Arabidopsis thaliana: one gene and its partners. The protein of the gene in region 4 interacts with the protein of the main gene of each other region in a pairwise test. Each region holds a gene or a part of one and is shown on either strand. Other genes may lie near its edges.

Region 1 (5,078 bases), on a different chromosome or scaffold from region 4:
GTTTGTTATCAAAAATATTTATTAACAAAATAATAATAATCTATGATTTAATAATTATAATTTAACATGCTTTAACTATATAAAGGGTGGTTTTGTGCAAACAAAACTCTCAAAGTTGCCAATATTTGTAATTTTACTCTCCACCTTAAAAAAGTACAGAATAGTTTTATAAAATCTAAAATAATAATTATTATACCCATTTCGCTATTGTCAAGTTTATAAAATTTTGAGAAATAATATATTTAATCGAAGTCCTCGAGACGAAAAGTTCAAATCTACTTTTAGAATTTTAAAAATCCAATGTATGTGATCCTGAAAACATTTACAATGTATATATGTATAAAGACTATACTACGTTTTATTTTGGACTTATATAATTATTCTGTATTTTTTAAAGTGGAAGGTAAAATTGTAAGAATTGACGACTAACCCTTATGTAAAGTATACAATATGTAATTTAATCATATGATTTCTATTTTTTGTATTAATAATTATGATATAAAAAATTATAATGAAAACCATTACATGACTAGAAAATATGTTACATCTATGATTTCTATGATTATTAGTATATAAATATAGGTTAACAAAGAATATTATTATATAAATCTAGATCCACAGATTTTGAAGATGCTATTTTGTTAGTCATATTTTAATGAAAATATTAGTAATATAGTTTCTTAATTATAACACCAAAATGACATAAGCTTCAATAGTTTATTACTTTTTCTTCTTTTTTCATTATAACTATGTTGTTTGAAATTTGTTTAAAAATAATTATGTTTAACTATTTTTATTGCTAATTTATGTTATTTTCGTATATGCTATTATGTAGTTAATAAAGTTATATTCATTTTATTAATTATATTTGTATAGTTAGATTCACTTTTGATTCAAATATCAATTATATTTTTTTCATGTATAAATCTTTTTATCTATATACCCAAGTTTCTAAAATTTTTTAACTATCATGAAATACTTACATCAACAATATGATACAATGGTATGCAATTATGCTACTTATTTGGTTTGAAAGTTATCTAATTTGATTCTAAGCAAATAATTTCTTGTTCCATGTATTCTCTCCTAATCTAGTATTCCAATCACATCATGATAGGCTCATGGCTAAATATTGGATTGACATAATTTGAATAACAAATATATAAACTACTCATTTGCTTTAAAAGTTTTCATATGAAAAAAAAAAATCATAAATTAAATAGTCTTTTGAGTCAACACTTTTAGGTTTCTCTCTTTGCATTTGCATATATTCATATTAGAGAAAGGATCGTATATTGAACTTTTTGGTATATCTAACATCTCAAAAGATCACTATTTAACAAAAGATACATGTCAATATTAATGTTACCAATTTATCATAAACATACAAAAAAACCATATCATGTAAACAAAAAAATATAATAAAAAGAAAAGACTAAGCTAAAATTACTAAACTAAAGAAGGTTAAGTAACAAACAGTTAAGTTGTAATACACGAAAATTTTTAGTCATTATCAAATAATGACTATTACAAAAATAATAAAAATAAGAAAACTAAAATGAGAGTAGTGTTTGATACATTAACATGATTTTTGTATTTTTTCTTGGCCAAATTTCATATATGATTTCTCAAATGCGAACTCAGTTGATTTTTTTTTTTTTACTCATAACTTACTTAATTTCTTATGAAAAAAAAAATATTTGACAAACAAGAAATAAAATATCAAAACTATAAGTTTTTGTTTGTTTTTTAGAAAAGAAGTGAAAGCTCCGTTTGACAACCGCCATTTAGAGAGAAGCGCGACATTTTACTTTTCGACTTTCGTGTTTCTCCAGTGGAATTCTTTTCAATATACACGCGCCGCTTATTATCCCTCACGCGCCACCGTCGTGTAAACCATAAAAAATCTCAAATCTAAACTCTTTCATTTTCAACTTTTCCTTTTCTTCTTCTTCTTCTTTATCTTTCTCACTTCTCCTTTCTCCATCGTTCTATCATTTTCTCCTTTCCTTCACCTCAAGATCTCAAAAACACAAAAAGAGAAATCAATCAAAACCTTAGGGTTTTCTACTAATTTATCTGTGTGATGTTAAGAGAATCATCATCATCTTCGTCGTCATGGGAGGAGTAACTTCATCAATCGCTGCAAAATTCGCTTTTTTCCCGCCATCACCACCGTCTTATGGATTTGTTTCCGACGTTGACCGATTATACATAACAGAAGTACCTCGCCGTGATGATGTAGATGTATTGAAGCTAAAGACTCGTCGTGGTAACGAGATTGTAGCTATTTATATTAAACATCCTAAAGCTAATGGTACGCTTTTGTATTCACATGGTAACGCTGCTGATTTGGGTCAAATGTTTGAGCTTTTTATCGAACTTAGTAATCGTCTCCGACTTAATCTCATGGGGTAAGTAACTTTTTTCTTCTTCTCTATCTCTGTTTTTGTATAAAGTTTCGATTTTTGAGGATTGTTGTGAATGATACTGTTAATTTAGGGGTTTCCATGAAAAAAGGAGGAAACTTTCCAAAATTGGTTCGTTATCTCGTTGATGTTTTTAAATTTGAATTGAAGATTTGGTTTTGGATTGGTTATTAATGGCTTATAGTCCTGAATATAGTGACAAAATCTATGTGAAAGTCAGAGACTTTAGCCAAAATTTTCTGGGTCTTGTTGACCCCTCAAGACATTTATTCATATAGTTTTTGAAATTTCTATATAAATAATTTGACTTTTGTGAAATGTTGTGATGCAAGCATTTCATTGCAACTGTTTTCAATCATACTTCTCCTCTGTGGTAGAAGAAGAATTTAGATTCTGAGAATGCGATTTCGCATATCTTCATGCGTACTTGCTTAGGCCTTGTACTCAATTTTAACGACTGTGAAGACTGTAAATTGGTAATTAGTAGCAAAAGTTTCTCCACTTAAGTTGTGTTATTGCGGTAGTTACGGTCTATAATCCAATGATGAGTAGGTTATAATAGTTCTATAATCTCTTCTTTGGTTTTCTTTTTCCAGGTATGATTACTCTGGTTATGGTCAGTCTACTGGAAAGGTTGTATTCTGAGCTTCTAACTTTATAAAAGTGTATCTGACCGTCTTGTTATGTGTTAGAGAGTCCAGGGATTGTTTTTGATGGATTTAAGTTTGTTACTTGAATCAGGCAAGTGAATGTAATACCTATGCTGATATAGATGCAGCATATACTTGCCTCAAGGAACATTATGGTGTAAAAGATGATCAACTGATATTATATGGTCAGTCTGTTGGTAGTGGACCAACGATTGATTTAGCTTCACGCACGCCTAATTTGCGAGGAGTGGTTTTGCACAGCCCTATTCTCTCTGGGATGAGAGTTTTGTATCCGGTTAAACGTACCTATTGGTTTGACATTTACAAGGTAATTTAGCAAACATTCAGCTATGTTTGTTCTGGTTTTCATGTGTTCATGCTTACACGCACAATTCTTTGTTTCAGAATATTGACAAGATCGGTGCAGTTACCTGTCCTGTCTTAGTAATCCATGTGAGTAAATGATTATTCCTCTTTCATTATTGTCTCTTTCACTTTGCCTTTGATCTTCTCATTATTGGTGGAATCTTGTTGTCATTTATTGCCTCCACAGATTCTTGTAATGAATTAAAACTTGTAGGTTAACTGGACCATTTGACAAGAAAATGTTTGGTGAAACTCAAGTTGTTGAAATTTATGAGATATTTATTGGGTAGCCAACTTGAGTATTTCTCCAATAAGAATCATTGTCTTGTGCCTTAAAAACAGATTAGTGACATTAGTCTAAATTTAAATCACTTAAGAAGGTTTTTAACTCTCTTGTTTGGTCTGGTAGGGGACTGCAGATGAAGTGGTTGATTGTTCTCATGGAAAACAACTTTGGGAACTTTCAAAAGAAAAGTATGAGCCTTTATGGGTATCTGGAGGAGGACACTGCAATCTAGAACTCTATCCAGAGTTCATAAAACATCTGAAGAAATACGTAATTTCTATTTCCAAGGGACCAAGAACTGGTTCGAACAAGACTGCAACGACGGATGCAGCCAAAAAACAGAGCAAGCCTGCAGAGAACGGGCGTGCTGATACGTTTCAACTTGGCTGTTGCCTTCCAGAAGTTTCTAGAAACAGTGTAGACAGTCAGCTGGAGAAATCTAAGAAGACTAGTAAACCCGAGAAGTCTCGTATGAGCATTGATAGGTTTAGAAGGAAAAAAGGTTCAGTCTGGTGACATATAAAGGTCCATCGACAAAACAGGTTATTTGTAACTCCTGTTTCTGTAATTCATATGTTTCTGCATAAAATTATGACGTGTGGTTTTGTTTTTTTCTTTCTCAGGTTTGTGTATGTATTTTCTAATAGAAACAGATCAAACTCAAAAGTCTTGATTTCATATTTGGTTGTAACTTTGTCATGGTACAAAACTTGTAATCACTGACAAGTTTGATTTTAGTTTGGACTTGCTTTTCTCGAAACTAAAAACGCATATACAGTAAAACCTCTATAAATTAATAATGTTGGGAGCGAGAAAATTTATTAATTTAAAGAGGTATTAATTTATCGATAAATTAATAATTATTAATTTATAGAGAGATTTTACAAATTTTGTATTTTTTTTTTTTACAAAACTTCGATAGAAAAGTAGTTTTTCTTTATAATTAATAATTTTTTCTAAAACTAATTACAAGGAAAAAACAATGATTAAGTTTAAAAAATAATACAAAATTTTTTCGACGTAATAAAAATATTAGAATTAAACTCTACAAATAATTAATAGAAATTGAAGAAAAAATAATATTAGAGTCATATTTCAATAAATATTTTACATATAATATTGATATATATATATATGTGTATATATTTGTAAATTTATATAATTATTAATTTATAATATTGATGGGACCATATATTTATATAAGATTTTCGAAAAAGTTATTATCTTATTAATTTATCGATTTATATCAATTTTTACATTGGTCATAACTCGGGACGGGAATAATTTATTAATTTATAGAGGTTATTAATTTATCGAGTATTAATTTATGGAGGTTATACTGTAGTT
Region 2 (4,997 bases), on a different chromosome or scaffold from region 4:
TTCATAAAGTATTTGAGTGATTTGGCTGGACCGACCATTTCAAATCTTTCCAATGGTGGGGACAAAAATTTAACTAGTTAGGAAGATAAACAGATTGTGATGTTTAGTCATCTTGTGATTTGAAAGAAATAAATTTCGAAAAACTCCAAAGGCGTAACCAATAATATACATGTCCACCTAAAAAGATAAAAACGTGAAAATGATTGCTGCTCTCCAAGCGTAACATTCTGTGTAGACAGAAGCGGCTTAATGGAATATTCACATTCAATCCATTGTAAGCTTTCAAAATGATTTCGACTAAACTGTTGCAATTGAATCCAGCTTTCTTTTTAACCAAATAAATCATTTCTTTTCCCTTTTGTCAACATACAATGTTTGTTTTACGTATTTTGATATGTGGAGTCGATTACATTAGGTCATTTGTTTTTTAACTAGTGAATAAACTTGGTTTCTTAGATCAAATTCTTTTCTTGTTTCGCATCAGAATGGTAATACACACACAATTTTTGCTGGAGTAAAACATAAGCCACTCACTTACCAAATTCTTAGGCTAAGTATATATTTTGGGCGCCAATATAACAATCGACAATACATAATAGCTGCATTGTCACCCGATACTTAAATAATTGTCTCATACAAATAAAAGATTGAAGACATTCAAACAATATTTATATGTGAAGACAAAAAAAAACCAAAAAAATGAACCAAGGACCAAATATAATATGATATTTTTTTGCTTAGGGACAAAAAAAAACAGCATCATCACAAGCATCCTAAAGAAAATAGAAGAGATAAAACAGAGATATAAAACTAAAGTACACAAGACTTCTTGACACAACCATAAGGTTCTAAAGAGAAAAAAGAAAATAAAATCCACATAACAACAGATAGTTCAATTCCCATCTCAACTAGGGAAAATAGATTTTTTTGTAACAAACTCACCACCACGAACCAGATAAGACAAGACACACTTAGAAGCATTTCCTGTGAACAATCGATGGACCTGACTCATCGTACTCACTCTTTGAAATCCACATCTGATTCACACACACAAACAAAACAAAATTTCAGTATTTTCACTCATGTTTCATAAATGGAGCTGAAAGTTTTAAAGAGGCGGAATTGGGATTTTTACCTGTTGGAAGGTGCTGAGGGATGCAAGGATTGATCCTCCGATCCAGACACTGTATTTTCTCTCTGGCGGTGCAACCACCTTGATCTTCATGCTGCTAGGTGCAAGAGCGGTGATCTCTTTGCTCATACGGTCAGCAATTCCTGGGAACATGGTGGAACCACCACTGAGAACGATGTTTCCATAGAGATCCTTCCTGATATCGACATCACATTTCATGATGGAGTTGTAAGTTGTTTCATGGATTCCAGGAGCTTCCATTCCGATGAGCGATGGCTGGAACAGAACCTCAGGACAACGGAATCTCTCAGCTCCGATGGTTATGACTTGTCCATCAGGTAGCTCGTAGTTCTTCTCCACTGAAGAACTGCTCTTGGCTGTCTCTAGCTCTTGCTCGTAGTCAAGAGCGACATAAGCAAGTTTCTCCTTTATGTCACGGACAATTTCCCGTTCTGCGGTAGTGGTGAACATGTAACCTCTCTCAGTGAGAATCTTCATGAGTGAGTCTGTGAGATCCCGACCCGCAAGATCAAGACGAAGGATAGCATGAGGAAGAGCATACCCCTCGTAGATTGGCACAGTGTGAGACACACCATCACCAGAATCGAGCACAATACCTGTTACAAAAAGAGAACGACTTTAAGTAAATACAAGTAAGAAGATAATATAACTCAGACTTGGATGTTTAGAGTTAAGAACTAACCGGTTGTACGACCACTGGCATAGAGAGAAAGAACGGCCTGAATGGCAACATACATGGCAGGGACATTGAATGTCTCAAACATGATCTGAGTCATCTTCTCCCTGTTAGCTTTAGGGTTAAGAGGTGCCTCTGTGAGTAGAACTGGGTGCTCCTCAGGGGCAACACGAAGCTCGTTGTAGAAAGTGTGATGCCATATCTTTTCCATGTCATCCCAGTTACTTACAATACCATGTTCGATTGGATACTTCAGAGTGAGGATACCTCTCTTGGACTGAGCTTCATCACCAACGTAAGCATCTTTCTGACCCATACCAACCATGACACCAGTGTGCCTAGGACGACCAACAATACTTGGGAACACTGCTCTCGGGGCATCATCACCAGCAAAACCAGCCTGTTAATATACAAAAATCATGATCAGTAGTCTTACACATGTACAACAAAGAAGGTTAGAACCATACAGTATCTAAATAAACAGTCTAACTCACCTTCACCATTCCAGTTCCATTGTCACAGACAAGTGGCTGAATATCCTCACCATCGGCCATTTTTCACTAAAAAAAAAGTAAAATGAAACCGAAATGAATTGGATAAGCTCATGAAGTAAACACGAATCAGATCACAACTTAGTTTCGAAGATTAGCAGCGTTTATTGAAACTCAAACATCGCTTCATATGTTGATTATTGAGAAAACTAGGTTCAAACTTCACAGATCTCAAAGAGAAAACACTAGAATTCACTTGTAAACATCAACACCTAACAGATCGAAGATTAAAACCAGATCAATCGAGCATACACGAAGTCATTTCGAACTAAACAACTTCACTTCACTGAAAAAAACAAAAATAACAGCGAGAGATCGACAGAAGCGAGAAGAATCCTCAAACTCCATAGATCTAACACATAAACCTTAAGAATTAGCTCAGATCGATCCAACAAGCACGGATCGAATCACATAACAAGCAACCCCCAAAACAAAGATTTTCTCATAAAACCACAACGCATGCTAAACAGATCTAGCGAAATCGGCATAGAGAATCAACAATAACGACTAACGAGCAGCAAAATCAAGCGAACGGATCTAGAGACTCACCTTGAAGAAGAAGAAGATGATACAGAAGATTCGAGAAGCAGCGAGAGAGAAAGATAGAGAAATGGAGGAGAAACAACAGCGGCAGCAGCTAACACTAAGGAAAGCGAAACGAGTACATGTGCGAATATATAGCTCTACGATTTTTCTCACTCTTTTATTTTTTTCTATTTCTTCTATTATTTCCCAAATAAAAAATCTGGGAGAGACAATGCTATGGTGACCTGGCTTTCACACTCTTTTTAGCTCACCGACGCGTCTATGTTGCCGTTAGATTGTTTTGAGTTTGATCTAAACCGTTGATTATGATTCGGTTCAAATGAATTAGCCCGGGAGCCGTGACTGATGGTTACGGCTAAAGTTAGGCTCGGCTTAGGATTTATCGGCTCGGCTTTTGTGGTTCGGACATCGTTCAAATTTTATTCTCGAAATAACAAAAAACTATTAATAGAAAAATAATAAAAACTAGAAGAGCAGACAAACGGACTGTGGTTTTTTTCTCGTGACTGTTTTTTTGAAAATCTATGGAGTTGTTTATTCTTGTGAATTTTTAATACGATTTCGTCTTTCATAATTCAAACTTCACACTTATAAATTAGTAAACATTTGACGGGTAGACTGTTGCAACCAAGGAGAATTGACGGAAATGGTCGTTTATTAGCAATTTAGAACAAAGATTGGCCAATTGTTGACTAGTCCATTTTAAGAGCTTCAAAACTCTCATTTTTATGAATTTTATATGTAGAAAAAGAAAAACACAGATTATCGATATGTTTTATAATTTATATAGATTAAATTGCATCATCACAAAATATAAAACAAATTAATCGTAAGGTGAATTTTTTGATAAATGTTTAAACACTATTGTCTAGATTTTATTGTGACAAAAAATAAAATAAAATAAAAATATATTAAATGATTGATCGGTTTTCGTGATATATCTTTTTATGTTATAAATGTTTTAATGAGTTAATTGAAAATTCCTGAAACCAAAATTCTAGACCAAAACCCGAATAGGAGCAAGATACATATCAACTACGATTTTGAGGAATGCACACTAAAAGACTAGGATCTTTGAAGCATTTTTTATAAGTCACCTTTGTGAGTGTTCTATATGAGACCCAATTCTAAGAAAATAATGTGTGTAAAGTGTATTGTTTATCTATAAATGGTATCATTATAAATTGGTTTAACTGGCTTGGAATATAACATTGATATAGTCTCACAACATGTTATATGTCCATTGATACTATTGATTAATTTGGTATATGTCCAAAACAAGTTACTTCCAATAATTCAAATATTAATCACCTTTTAGAATGATTAAAAGCTTTAACAATAATCTTTTTGAAATAAAGTTTCATATTCCTTGTTGGAAAGCATGTGCTAAGTTCTTACACTTTGTCTATAAAAGTTGGAAAGTGGTCTAGCTTGGTTGGCAACTTAAATAATCAAAATAGTTATGGGTACTCTTCTAATTTATCATTCACCTTTATTTTCTTAACATTTTTGTCCAATAACAACATTACCTATAAAAAAAAAAAAAGAGAGAGGTAAAAGGTAAATTCAAAGGGAAGCCAAATCCGTCATCATTTGTAGTTTGTATTCCAAGGAAAGATAAGTTGATTTGAGCCACCATGCTTCTCATTTCCACTTTACATTGATTGCAAATTTTGAATTTGCCTCTTATCGTATACACATGAAATTGTTCTGTGTATCATCAAATTGGGGAAATATAGATGAATTCCCAACGATAAAACGGGCCGAAAATCTTTAATGGACTGAAATAATAACAATAATATAGTTGGGCTGATTTGGCCCAATAGGAAACTTAAAGACCCAATGATGCAGTCATCTTCACTGATTATCGTTTGGGTCTGGTTTGTATATTTCAAGAAGACCAAGACCAACCAAGTGGTTTAAACAGAGAATAAAAGCTTTTGATGTTTTAGAACTTGGATTGGTTTCAAACTTTAAAATATCTCCACATTGAAAACAAGATGAAAATATTTTCACGGACTATCATATCAGTCTATTCCTCTCCAAACAAAAAAACTCTGTATCATTTAAA
Region 3 (4,712 bases), on a different chromosome or scaffold from region 4:
GATAAGAGACTAAAAGAAAACTCTTTATGAAAAATCAATACCTCAACATGATCAACAACACTGAAGTTGTTAGATTCTTGAACTTTCTGGCGCTTTTTTGTATTTGCTCGGATTAGGAAATCTCCAGTATTCTGAGACAGTAACAAGGAGAATGAGATCTAGCTAAAAAAGAGACTGTATTTCTTGTTCAAGAAAGAAATATAGATGCATCTGCAATGCCAGGATATGTAGCCAGCATTGCATACAACTTTGATCAATCTTTAGGCACAAACTGATCAATACAAGGAGGATAGGGACATCAACAATTCAATTAGCAACGACCCTTAGACTCACAAGAATCATAGCATAGACATAAACAAAAGAATTTGAAACAAACATCGGAAGCTACCTCGTCGTCTGAATCACTGATAGAGGTTTCGGACAATCCCGGCGGTGTGGAAGTGACGACTTTGACAGCGGCAGAAGCAGATGACCAGAGAGAGACCTGCTGCTGCTGCTGTTGTTGTTGTTGTGGTGGCTTGGCCGAGGAAGGGGTCTTACCAGTCAAGCGGGCCTCAAGCTTGGCGATTTTGTCGGGTAAAGAGTGATCCGACTGATTAGAAGAATTCGAGGAGAAATGCAAAACCATGTCATCCGACATTGCCAAACACTTGCGGACACTTCACTCCCTAATTTCTACACAGATCAGAGTAAATTCGAGAAATTAGGGTTTTTTAACGGAGAATTACGGAATTGGAAGCTAGAATCTGGATGTCGAAGAGAAACCCATCAACAAATTTTCATGCTTTTATGCAAATCCACGTGGAGGAAAGTGAATAAAACGTACAGAGAAAGATAGACAGAGAAAGAGAAGGAGGAATAAGGTTTTTGTTTCGGTGAAAAAGAAAAATCGAGGAACCCTAAGGAATTAGGAGGGAAAGAGAGGTCAACACAAAGTTCTCTTTAGCACTCACTCTGATACATTTTTTGGTTTATCAGATTTTAGCCTAATTATATAATCTGAGGTTTGAGACAAGTTTGAGTTATGGGTGTGTTAATTTGGGAAATTTCCATTTTTTCTTTCTTTTTTTTTCTCCATTTGGTATCATGGATTAGGGTTGACTATAAGTAGGGTTTTCTTTGATCTAAGGCCAGACTCGTGGTTTAAACGCTAAAATCCGATTATGACTATATGAATTTGCGGAAGTAGGCGGTTGCCGTCTCAAGCGTTATTAAACAATTTGAACGATTAATTTAGCGGTTGAAAATTAATGCATTTGCGGAAATTTTGTTACTGAATATCTAACAAACTAAAATACTTAATATATTAAATAATAAAATAATATAATTTAGTAATTTATAGTAAAATAAGATATGCTAGACTATTAATTTTGACACTAAATATATTCTGATTTCTTTCTTTACTAGTTTCATTTATATTTAATAACATTTTTATATAATTTACTATTCACAGAATTTAATAAGAAATAAATCTTAATTTGAAAAAAAAAAAATTGATTTGATAAAATTTCAATTGATTAATTAATTAAGACAAATAAAATAATAAATGAGAATCTCAGTGTCAATTAATAGATAAAATTAAAATGTAACATGCGTTAAGAAAAAGAAAAAAGTAAAAATGTAATATTAAGGTTTAGGCAAAATGAAATATTTACAGAGACCTTTTACTATTGAATTAAAAAAAAAAGTTACAATTCGAGATGGACTATTTTTTTGGAGGAGCAAGGGTTAACTCTTATCTCAGATTAAAACAACCCCTGCGCCGCTTACTCTCTCTCAGATTCCTCCCGAAGCAACCTCGTTTACTCTCTACGCCAATTTCAGCGCTTAGACATCCCTTTGTGAGTTTTCTTCGATTCCTTTTCGAATTCTTCTGGTCGATCTCAGAGTAAATCGTGTTTTTGGAAGAATTGAGTATAAACAGATTGGTAAACCTAGCTGTTCCGTTTCTGATTTGAAGCCTTGTCGTACATTTTATTTGGGTATTTTTTTTATTGGGAATCGAAAAGTTGTTCTGAATCTCGTTATGGTTTTGTTGCGTTCCGAATTACCTCTCTGATTTAGAAACCCTAATTTCGGACTTGCCTATGCTCATCGTTGTTACAGATTATGTTGATTCTAATATGTATATGTTTGGTTTCTGAGGTCTTATTATCATTGTGTGTTTTCGTTTTGTATCTCAGTTGCAATCATGGCTGATGAAATCAATGAGATAAGGGAAGAGCAAGAAGTAAGTTTGTTTTTTTTCTCTGTTTCTTAATGATAGGGCTCAAGTTAGCCATATAGATTTTTTTTTTTGTTTTGTTTGATGAACTCATGATTGAATGGTTTTTATGTTTTGGTTCATCCTTTTACAGCAGCTCGCACCCTTTGATCCTTCCAAGAAGAAAAAGAAGAAGAAGGTTGTGATTCAGGAACCTGTCGAGGACTTAGCAGAGTCTTCACAGACTGAGAAATCTGATTCATTGCCTGGTATGTATGATGAAGAGTCAATGTGATGTGAAACATTTTTTTTGTTTCAATGGTCTTTTGTGTTACTTTGTCTAATTCCTTGTTTTTGCAGTTAATGATGGTCTTGAGAGTTCATTTACTGGAATGAAGAAAAAGAAGAAGAAGCCAGTGAGTATTGTTTTACGTTTTGTGCCTAGTATTTTTTTTATGTCATTAAACTTGTGTGTTTGATGATTCTGTGACTCACATTTGTTCTTGTTTGATATTTAGACTGAATCAAGCTTATTGAACAACGAAAGTGTTGATGCTGGGGAAGATTTGGATGGTACTTTTAATATCCTTTTTTTTTGTTTGCTAATATACCTTTTCTCTTGGCGGGGTTTTTATCCTGTTTGAATCTTACTGAGAATATATTGCAGAGATTGCTAATGACGAGCAAGAGGGGGAAGAAGGAATAGTTCTACAGCAACGTTACCCCTGGGAGGGAAGTGAGAGGGATTACATATATGACGAGGTGACTATATTTTCGATGATTTCTTTTGTTTTAATCCTTCATAAATATCTTGCTCCCTTGTTTTTTTGCTGACGGGAGTTATATATGCAGCTTCTTGGTAGAGTCTTTAACATTCTCCGTGAAAATAATCCGGAGCTTGCTGGAGATAGGCGTCGTACAGTTATGAGGCCTCCTCAAGTTCTTCGTGAGGGGACAAAGAAGACTGTCTTTGTCAACTTCATGGACCTTTGCAAGACGTATGAGCTAACTCTTTATCTTCCTCTTCAAACTTTTTCTGTGTAACCATAAGTAATATTACCATTTAATTTTGATGACTTTTCGATGACATGTCTTATCTGCATATAAAAAATCAGGATGCATCGTCAACCAGATCATGTTATGCAATACTTGCTTGCTGAGTTGGGTACTAGTGGTTCGCTTGATGGGCAGCAAAGGTTGGTTGTTAAGGGAAGGTTTGCACCTAAGAATTTTGAAGGAATTTTGCGGCGATATATCAGTAAGTAACTTTCTTCTTAGTCTCAAAATTTAAGTTGCCATAAAAGTATATCAGTTTGGAGTTGTTAACCTCTTGTTTTATTATTTCTCAGCTGACTACGTCATTTGCCTTGGTTGCAAGAGCCCAGACACCATTCTCTCCAAGGAGAACCGTCTCTTCTTTCTGAGATGTGAAAAGGTATAAGTTAATCTAATTAGTCCTGATCTTGATATGCATTCCTTTGTTTCTGTTTTACAGTTTTACTTTCTGCGCAACAAAGTAATAAAGTATTTTGTGTGTTTGAATTTGCTAATGTGATTAACGAGTGGGCTACATGGTTTTTGCAGTGTGGATCTCAACGATCTGTGGCTCCGATCAAAACAGGGTTTGTTGCTCGTGTTAGTCGCAGGAAGACTTGAGAAATTAGAAGGTGAAGTGACCTTGGTATGGAGTTTGGAGCTATTCTACTGCTTCTGTATGAGTTTATGAGTTGAAGAAATACTTGTCTTGTTTTTTTTATTTTGTTTTGGAATATGATTATGACTTGACTTTTAAAATGGGATAGGATCAAAACCTTTTACTCTGTCAGGTTCATGTGGTCACCTTGAAGGTTGATTTAGTAAATCCATGGACTTCTTTTTTGTGTTAAGATTATTCTTAGTTCAAAATTAATAGACTAATGATATTAACGTCCACAGGCATTGCGTTCAACATCTCAAATTAAAGCGTGGAAGGCTCAGAAAGTCCAATATACACTATGTTTATCTACAGTTACAATCATACTACAAAAAACAAATAATGTATACGGTTTGGTCTAATATAGCCGCATACGATTTAGTATTTACCAACAAAAAATTGGTCTCAAACCAAACCGAACAATTGGTAATTAACAATTGTTCTTTTGGTCTTGAACCGAACCAAACCGAACTGAACTATATTAACCGACCGACTTCGTCCTTTCCTCCTGATCAAGAAAACTCGTCTCCTACAAAAATCCCAGAAGACAAGAGATTGGTTCTTCTTTTGCATCATTCTTACAAAATCCCCAAAATCATTCGAAACCCCTGAGTATTCTCCTTAACTCTAAGAAATAAATTTCTGAATGGATGCATCGTCTTCACCGTCTCCTTCCGAGGAAAGCTTGAAGCTTGAGCTTGATGATCTTCAGAAACAGCTGAACAAAAAGCTGAGATTCGAAGCATCCGTTTGTTCTATTCATAATCTTCTCCGTGATCACTACTCTTCTTCCTCTCCTTCTCTCCGCAAACAGGT
Region 4 (5,481 bases):
ACTAATGTGATGCTTTTACGTGGGAGGCACAACTTTAAGATTTGAATATTCGAGTGACTTGCCTGCATGTCGTATATAATGTTTATGATATATAATTTTTTTTTGATCAAATGATATATATTAATAGTATAATTTTAAAAAACCTTTTTACAAGAGAAAAAATGATATAATGATCTTTACATTACTGAAATCAGGGTTTTGACTTATTTGGATTAGATTAATTGTAAAATTTATTTGTCAACAACTTCCATTGATTTAATTTTGTTTGTTTTTTGGTCGGTTATGTGAGACTATTATTATTTTATTTTGTTGTCTACAATTAACATACGTATATATACACTGGATGATGACATCAAAGTATGTTTTCGAGTAATCCGTAAAGCAAAATGTGATATATCGAAATTAACAAATTTTTTGCACAATCATTAATAATGAATTTGCTCAGATCCTCTAACAAAAATAGCGATATTACCTCTGCACATTTTTTAGCACGGAAAAATAGGTCCATTAGAGACATGTTGACAAAAAAAAAAAAACAATTCACCATAGGCTACGTTTATTGAAAATTGATGCATCTCAACAAGTTTTCAAACGTTCAAATTTTGAGTTTTTTTGAACTATACAACAAATTCTCACTAGTCAAAACCTTAAACTTTTTCATATATTTTTCTAGTTTTTATAATTTATATTTCTTACAAATAATTGTAGAAAACTCAATTTTTGGGTCATGAAAATCGCCAACAGTGTGAAAAGAGGCCAACCAAAAGCAGTTGATTCTCTAGAACTCATTGTTAATAACTGAAATATATGTATGTAAACTAATATTTGCTAGAATTATAAAGGAGAAAAGAGTACAATCGAAGTCGGAACCAACGCCGGCCGGTCGGAAAAATCACAGAAGAAAAATCGTATCAATCGCTTTTTCAATCGTCCATCTTCTTTATCTACCGGATAATACTTCCTAATACTTAAACTTTAAGAAAAAAGATTGTCAGCTAGCTATACGAAGTGTGGAAGAATACATTATCACATATGCCGCAACTAATATAAACGATACCCAGTTACCTGAAATATATATACGAAATATATGTCGTATGTGCCAATATCATAGACACTAAGTCTCGATTAATCGGTCGTTTTACTCTATCGTTGACTAATCGTTAACTCATCGGGATCCGAAAATGATCGGTTGTGAACCTTATTATTGGTTTCAATTATCGTTATTTTGTATAGAGACTATTTTTTCTTAAATCGTTTTATAAGAGTCACAAATCACAACTCGTCCTAAGTTCTCTCTCTATTCGACTAACCCAAGCACGACATTGACCACTATGCCTGGGCCTATTGACCACACTACAATAAAATCGCACACTACATGAAACTTGGGTTGAACATCTAATTTTCTCTAATTAAATTATTTTTACTTTGCTTAAAAGTTTTTGTTCCTGTCAGTTATACAATTTAAAATTGTTTGTTATCTTTAGTTCTTCAATTTGATTTATGATGTGGCATAAAATCCAGAAAGTGCATGGTTCCCACTCGACAACGGCTAAATTCCTCAACGGCTCCTTTTTGACTCTAGCATATTTAGGAGCCTTAATTATTAAATAATTTAATCACCCTTTAATTAGTATAACAATCCAATGTTAATTTTTTCATGCATTACACAATTAAATGCTTTTACCAGTATAATGACATGTGTTATACAATATCTTTCAAATTCAATTTTGTCCAAAATTATAAGTAGCTTTTTTATTTTTCTATAACAATTTATCACTTTTGGCCACATAAGGCTTTTCTTTCTCTGTATTCTTACACCTCATTCTTTATTGCCTTGTTTTACAGACACGTTCCCCAGTTTAAGGGACAAAACAGAGCCATTTTAGGACTCTTAACATTTATAAGTCCTCTTACTAAATAGATAAGCACAAATACTGTTTGGTTCTGTTTTGCTTCTTCATCATCATCGTATCTCCACCGTTTGTTTGTTGTTGTTCTGTTTCTTTAACAGGAAAAAAAAACAGAGAGAAAAATCTGTCTCTTCACTAACACAAATCCATTTTCTCTTCTTCTTGTAGAGAGACAGAGAAAACAGAGTTGTCCTCTAACTTCTTTCGATCGATTCAAAAACTCTAATGATTATTTGATTTTATGTTCGTTTGTTCGATTCTTAGATCGTAAAAAAATGGTGTCTTCTCCTCAGAGATTCGGTTTAATCTTAAGAGATCGTAACCAAAACGCTGGCGTTTTTCAAAAGAATCTGAAATCTCCGGTGAAAGAGGTTTTGAAATCTCATGTCTCCGATGAGAATTTAGTTGATTCTTGGATCGAAACTCACAATAACAAGAACAATCGTGTTCTTGAATCTCCGTTAGAATCGAAGAGAAACGACAATCTTGTGGCTTCTTCTTTGGTTCAGATATGGGAGGCGAGGCTAAACCGATCCAACGGTGGAAACTCGCCGAGTAGCAGTCAATCTACGGCGAGTAGTAGTAGTCGGAGCGATTCAGGAGTTAGTGTTCAAGATTCCGGTCTTTCAGAATCTTCATCAATCGATGGAGATTCTGAAATTGCTGATCGAACGGTGGAGATTGAATCTAGGTCACATGGTTTGGTTTCTGATTCCGGAGAAAGTAAATGGGGACGAGTCGCTGACCTAATTCGGAGGCTTAGCAACGAAGACAAGAAACGAACCGCTGGAGATAATGGCAGCGGCGGTGGCGGTGGACTCGAGATTATCAGAACGCCGAGGCCTTATTGCACTTCGTCGTCATCGGAGAAAAGTAATTTTCCGGTGGTTAGTTTCTCTCCGAAGATACGAGGACGACAAGCGTTTACCGATTTTCTTATGCAAATGGAACGTGATCGCCACCGTGAATTGGATTCGCTTTTTGAACGCAACGCAGTTTCTAGGTTTACTCAACGTGGTCGTCTCCAGGTAAATTATATTTTCACTATTTTGATAAAAATAACTAACATATTTGTGACTTTATTCATAATCCACTAAATGGTTTTTCTAATTACATTATTTAACCAGTCAATGCTAAGGTTAAGGAACCTCAATCGCTGTCTTGTGATTCAAGATAGAAACCGGTCTAACGCAAAAACAACCGGATTAAACCGAATTGAATCAGGCTCTGCTGTTCTGCATTTAAGGTTTTTTCAGATTCTCTGTTTTATGTTTTGAGTTTAGTTCTTAGGGTTTACTTTCTTCAGATTTTCAATCTTTGATTGGCAACGCAGGGAGAAATTTCATGCGAACGTAGTAAACTCTGCGGCTGCAACAGATAAGAGGAAGAATCATCAACGATCCACTGAGATGAACAACAAATCCGTAGAAGAAACAGAAGGAACTACTACCACAAGCACGAGGTTAAAGGATGGTGGTGTTACTCTCGAAGCTTTTTTCGCAGAGCGGTTGAGACCCCGTAACCGCAAGATAGAGGAAGCAACGTTATGTAAGGAAGAAGAATCTGTAAGTGGAACAGTTGATTCACAAAAGAATTGCCTTCAGCTGCAAGAAACAAGAGAAGTAGAAGAAACTTGCAACGATGGCAAGTCTGAAAAGAAAGAAGAAGAAAATACTAGCCCGAGTGAATATTTATCTCGAGAATCGCGGTTGAGACAGAATCAAGACGAGAACAATGTGGGAAAGTATATGCAAGAAACTCGAGAAACAGAAGGTCTAGTTCATGAGAGTAATGAGATGGACCAGTGCCTTGATCAACAAGAAACATCCTATTTGAATAGATGGGGAGAACAAGAAGAGTATGCAGATGAGCAGTCTTATTATGGAGAATATAACGACGACTGGCTTAGTGAAATAGCTAGGCCTCGGAGTTACTGGGAGGAATTGAGGAAGTCACGGTACCTGGAAGTAATGAACACTAGGTCTGAGAAAGATGACATATGCAGACTCCTTGAGCGGTAAGTAACCATCAAAATTGACAAGCTCATGTTTCTTAATGGTTAATAACTGACTAAGAAAATGAATTTCCCTGCTTAATACAGAAGAACGGTGACAGATTTCCTCGACAGCGGGTTGCGAGAGAAGATCGATAATCTCATGATGTCCCGTGTACAGACACACTCGGATAAGCACTCCAAAAAATGGGAATTGCAACAAGAAGAAGAGGAGGAAGTAAATTTTGAAATTGATGAAGAAATCAAAGAAGAGCCATTAAGAGGAGGTGAAGAGCAAGATGATAGAGATGACTTGAGCCAATCGTCGTCTTCACATATATCTGCATCGTCTCCTGCAGGATCATGGAGTTCTCAAGACACTGATGTTACTTCCACTCCTGCCTTGGTTGTTCAGAATCCTCAGTCACCTGTGAGTGTTTATCGATTTCTTGTTATACTATAGAAACTCGCAACCGCACTAGTGGTAAACTCATTGAGCCGCATATAAACGTTTTCAGGAAATGGAGCTGATAAGCGGTATGAGATCACAGATCCAACAGCTTCAGCAAGAAATGTCAGTACTACGAGATTCTGTCAAAACGTGTTTAGATGCTAACGCGAGCTTGCAACACAAGGCTCACCAAGAAAACCCAATGAAACGAAAATGCTGCGTCTGCGACGAAACACAGGTCGAGGCGGTTTTGTACAGGTGTGGACATATGTGCATGTGCCTAAAATGTGCCAACGAACTACATTGGAGTGGAGGGAAATGTCCGATTTGCAGAGCTCAGATTGTTGACGTTGTTCGTGTCATCTACGATACAAGAAACTGAAATCAACCGTTTTGAAAACGCTGAAGAATTCACTAACCCATTAAACCCTCTTTTCCTTATCGAGTTTGCGTTATTTGGCGTTTTGGGTCTGAATATCGTATTATGCTCTCTTTATACAGTTTTTAGGTTATGTTACCAACACTTTGTCCAGTTTTATGAAGTTTTTGATCTCCTAAACCAACCAAAAAAATTAACGGAAAATAGCCTAAAAATAAACCTTAAAACCTGAAAAGGCAAGTCACAAACAGAGCTTGGAAACATACATGAATTTTTGCAATTACTCTAGTAACCATCATTTCATTGATTTTGATACCTCATTGAGTACACTCTAAAAATTGTAGATTAAAGTCTGAAAACAGATCTTCGATGCAAAAGTGAAGCACATAGATTATAAAATACTCTCATAATCATCTACTCTTGGTCAAATTTATTTCATAAAGATTCAACAAAGCCAAACAAACCCTCAAAAATTGGAGATAGAGCTTCTAAGCAAACACTAAAAATTATACTTTTTGAGTTGTTTTAGAATCATAAACCCTTTATCGATTTTGATTTCTCAAAGACTCAACACTCTCTTTCTCTCCATAATATTTACACATCATCCGTAGATACATTACACTCATTTCATACATACATATTATAAATAAAACTCTGTGTTCTGTTTTTGTTTTCCTTATTCAAGCGTTTTGTGCGGTCAAGAAGGTGTTGAAGTCATCTCTAGCCTTACGCAAACGTGGAGTGATAC

Evidence for each region.
Region 1: the proteins of AT1G30860 (region 4) and AT5G38220 interact in a two-hybrid assay, tested with the Arabidopsis thaliana proteins (one large-scale study listed by BioGRID).
Region 2: the proteins of AT1G30860 (region 4) and ACT7 interact in a two-hybrid assay, tested with the Arabidopsis thaliana proteins (one large-scale study listed by BioGRID).
Region 3: the proteins of AT1G30860 (region 4) and EIF2 BETA interact in a two-hybrid assay, tested with the Arabidopsis thaliana proteins (one large-scale study listed by BioGRID).

Annotation. Positions count from the first base shown.
Region 1 is NC_003076.8:15,266,894-15,271,971, forward strand, and holds AT5G38220 (alpha/beta-Hydrolases superfamily protein), read left to right. Parts: upstream 1-1,780; 5' UTR 1,781-2,118; coding exon 2,119-2,414; intron 2,415-3,025; coding exon 3,026-3,062; intron 3,063-3,170; coding exon 3,171-3,407; intron 3,408-3,484; coding exon 3,485-3,532; intron 3,533-3,854; coding exon 3,855-4,247; 3' UTR 4,248-4,563; downstream 4,564-5,078.
Region 2 is NC_003076.8:3,050,195-3,055,191, reverse strand, and holds ACT7 (actin 7), read right to left. Parts: upstream 3,131-4,997; 5' UTR 2,930-3,130; intron 2,390-2,929; 5' UTR 2,384-2,389; coding exon 2,324-2,383; intron 2,230-2,323; coding exon 1,836-2,229; intron 1,750-1,835; coding exon 1,136-1,749; intron 1,038-1,135; coding exon 972-1,037; 3' UTR 501-971; downstream 1-500. UniProt on the Arabidopsis thaliana protein: Actins are highly conserved proteins that are involved in various types of cell motility and are ubiquitously expressed in all eukaryotic cells.
Region 3 is NC_003076.8:7,094,141-7,098,852, reverse strand, and holds EIF2 BETA (eukaryotic translation initiation factor 2 beta subunit), read left to right. Parts: upstream 1-1,707; 5' UTR 1,708-1,841; exon of another isoform or gene 1,842-1,982; intron 1,983-2,183; 5' UTR 2,184-2,191; coding exon 2,192-2,230; intron 2,231-2,357; coding exon 2,358-2,472; intron 2,473-2,563; coding exon 2,564-2,619; intron 2,620-2,721; coding exon 2,722-2,776; intron 2,777-2,870; coding exon 2,871-2,965; intron 2,966-3,055; coding exon 3,056-3,201; intron 3,202-3,318; coding exon 3,319-3,461; intron 3,462-3,552; coding exon 3,553-3,638; intron 3,639-3,787; coding exon 3,788-3,859; 3' UTR 3,860-4,204; downstream 4,205-4,712. Other genes in the region: TSL (Protein kinase superfamily protein), read right to left, coding at 42-131, 389-640; AIP2 (RING/U-box superfamily protein), read left to right, coding at 4,543-4,710. UniProt on the Arabidopsis thaliana protein: Component of the eIF2 complex that functions in the early steps of protein synthesis by forming a ternary complex with GTP and initiator tRNA.
Region 4 is NC_003070.9:10,985,951-10,991,431, reverse strand, and holds AT1G30860 (RING/U-box superfamily protein), read left to right. Parts: upstream 1-1,838; 5' UTR 1,839-2,185; coding exon 2,186-2,938; intron 2,939-3,037; coding exon 3,038-3,156; intron 3,157-3,243; coding exon 3,244-3,927; intron 3,928-4,011; coding exon 4,012-4,333; intron 4,334-4,421; coding exon 4,422-4,736; 3' UTR 4,737-4,936; downstream 4,937-5,481. Other genes in the region: RSH4 (root hair specific 4), read right to left, coding at 5,414-5,481.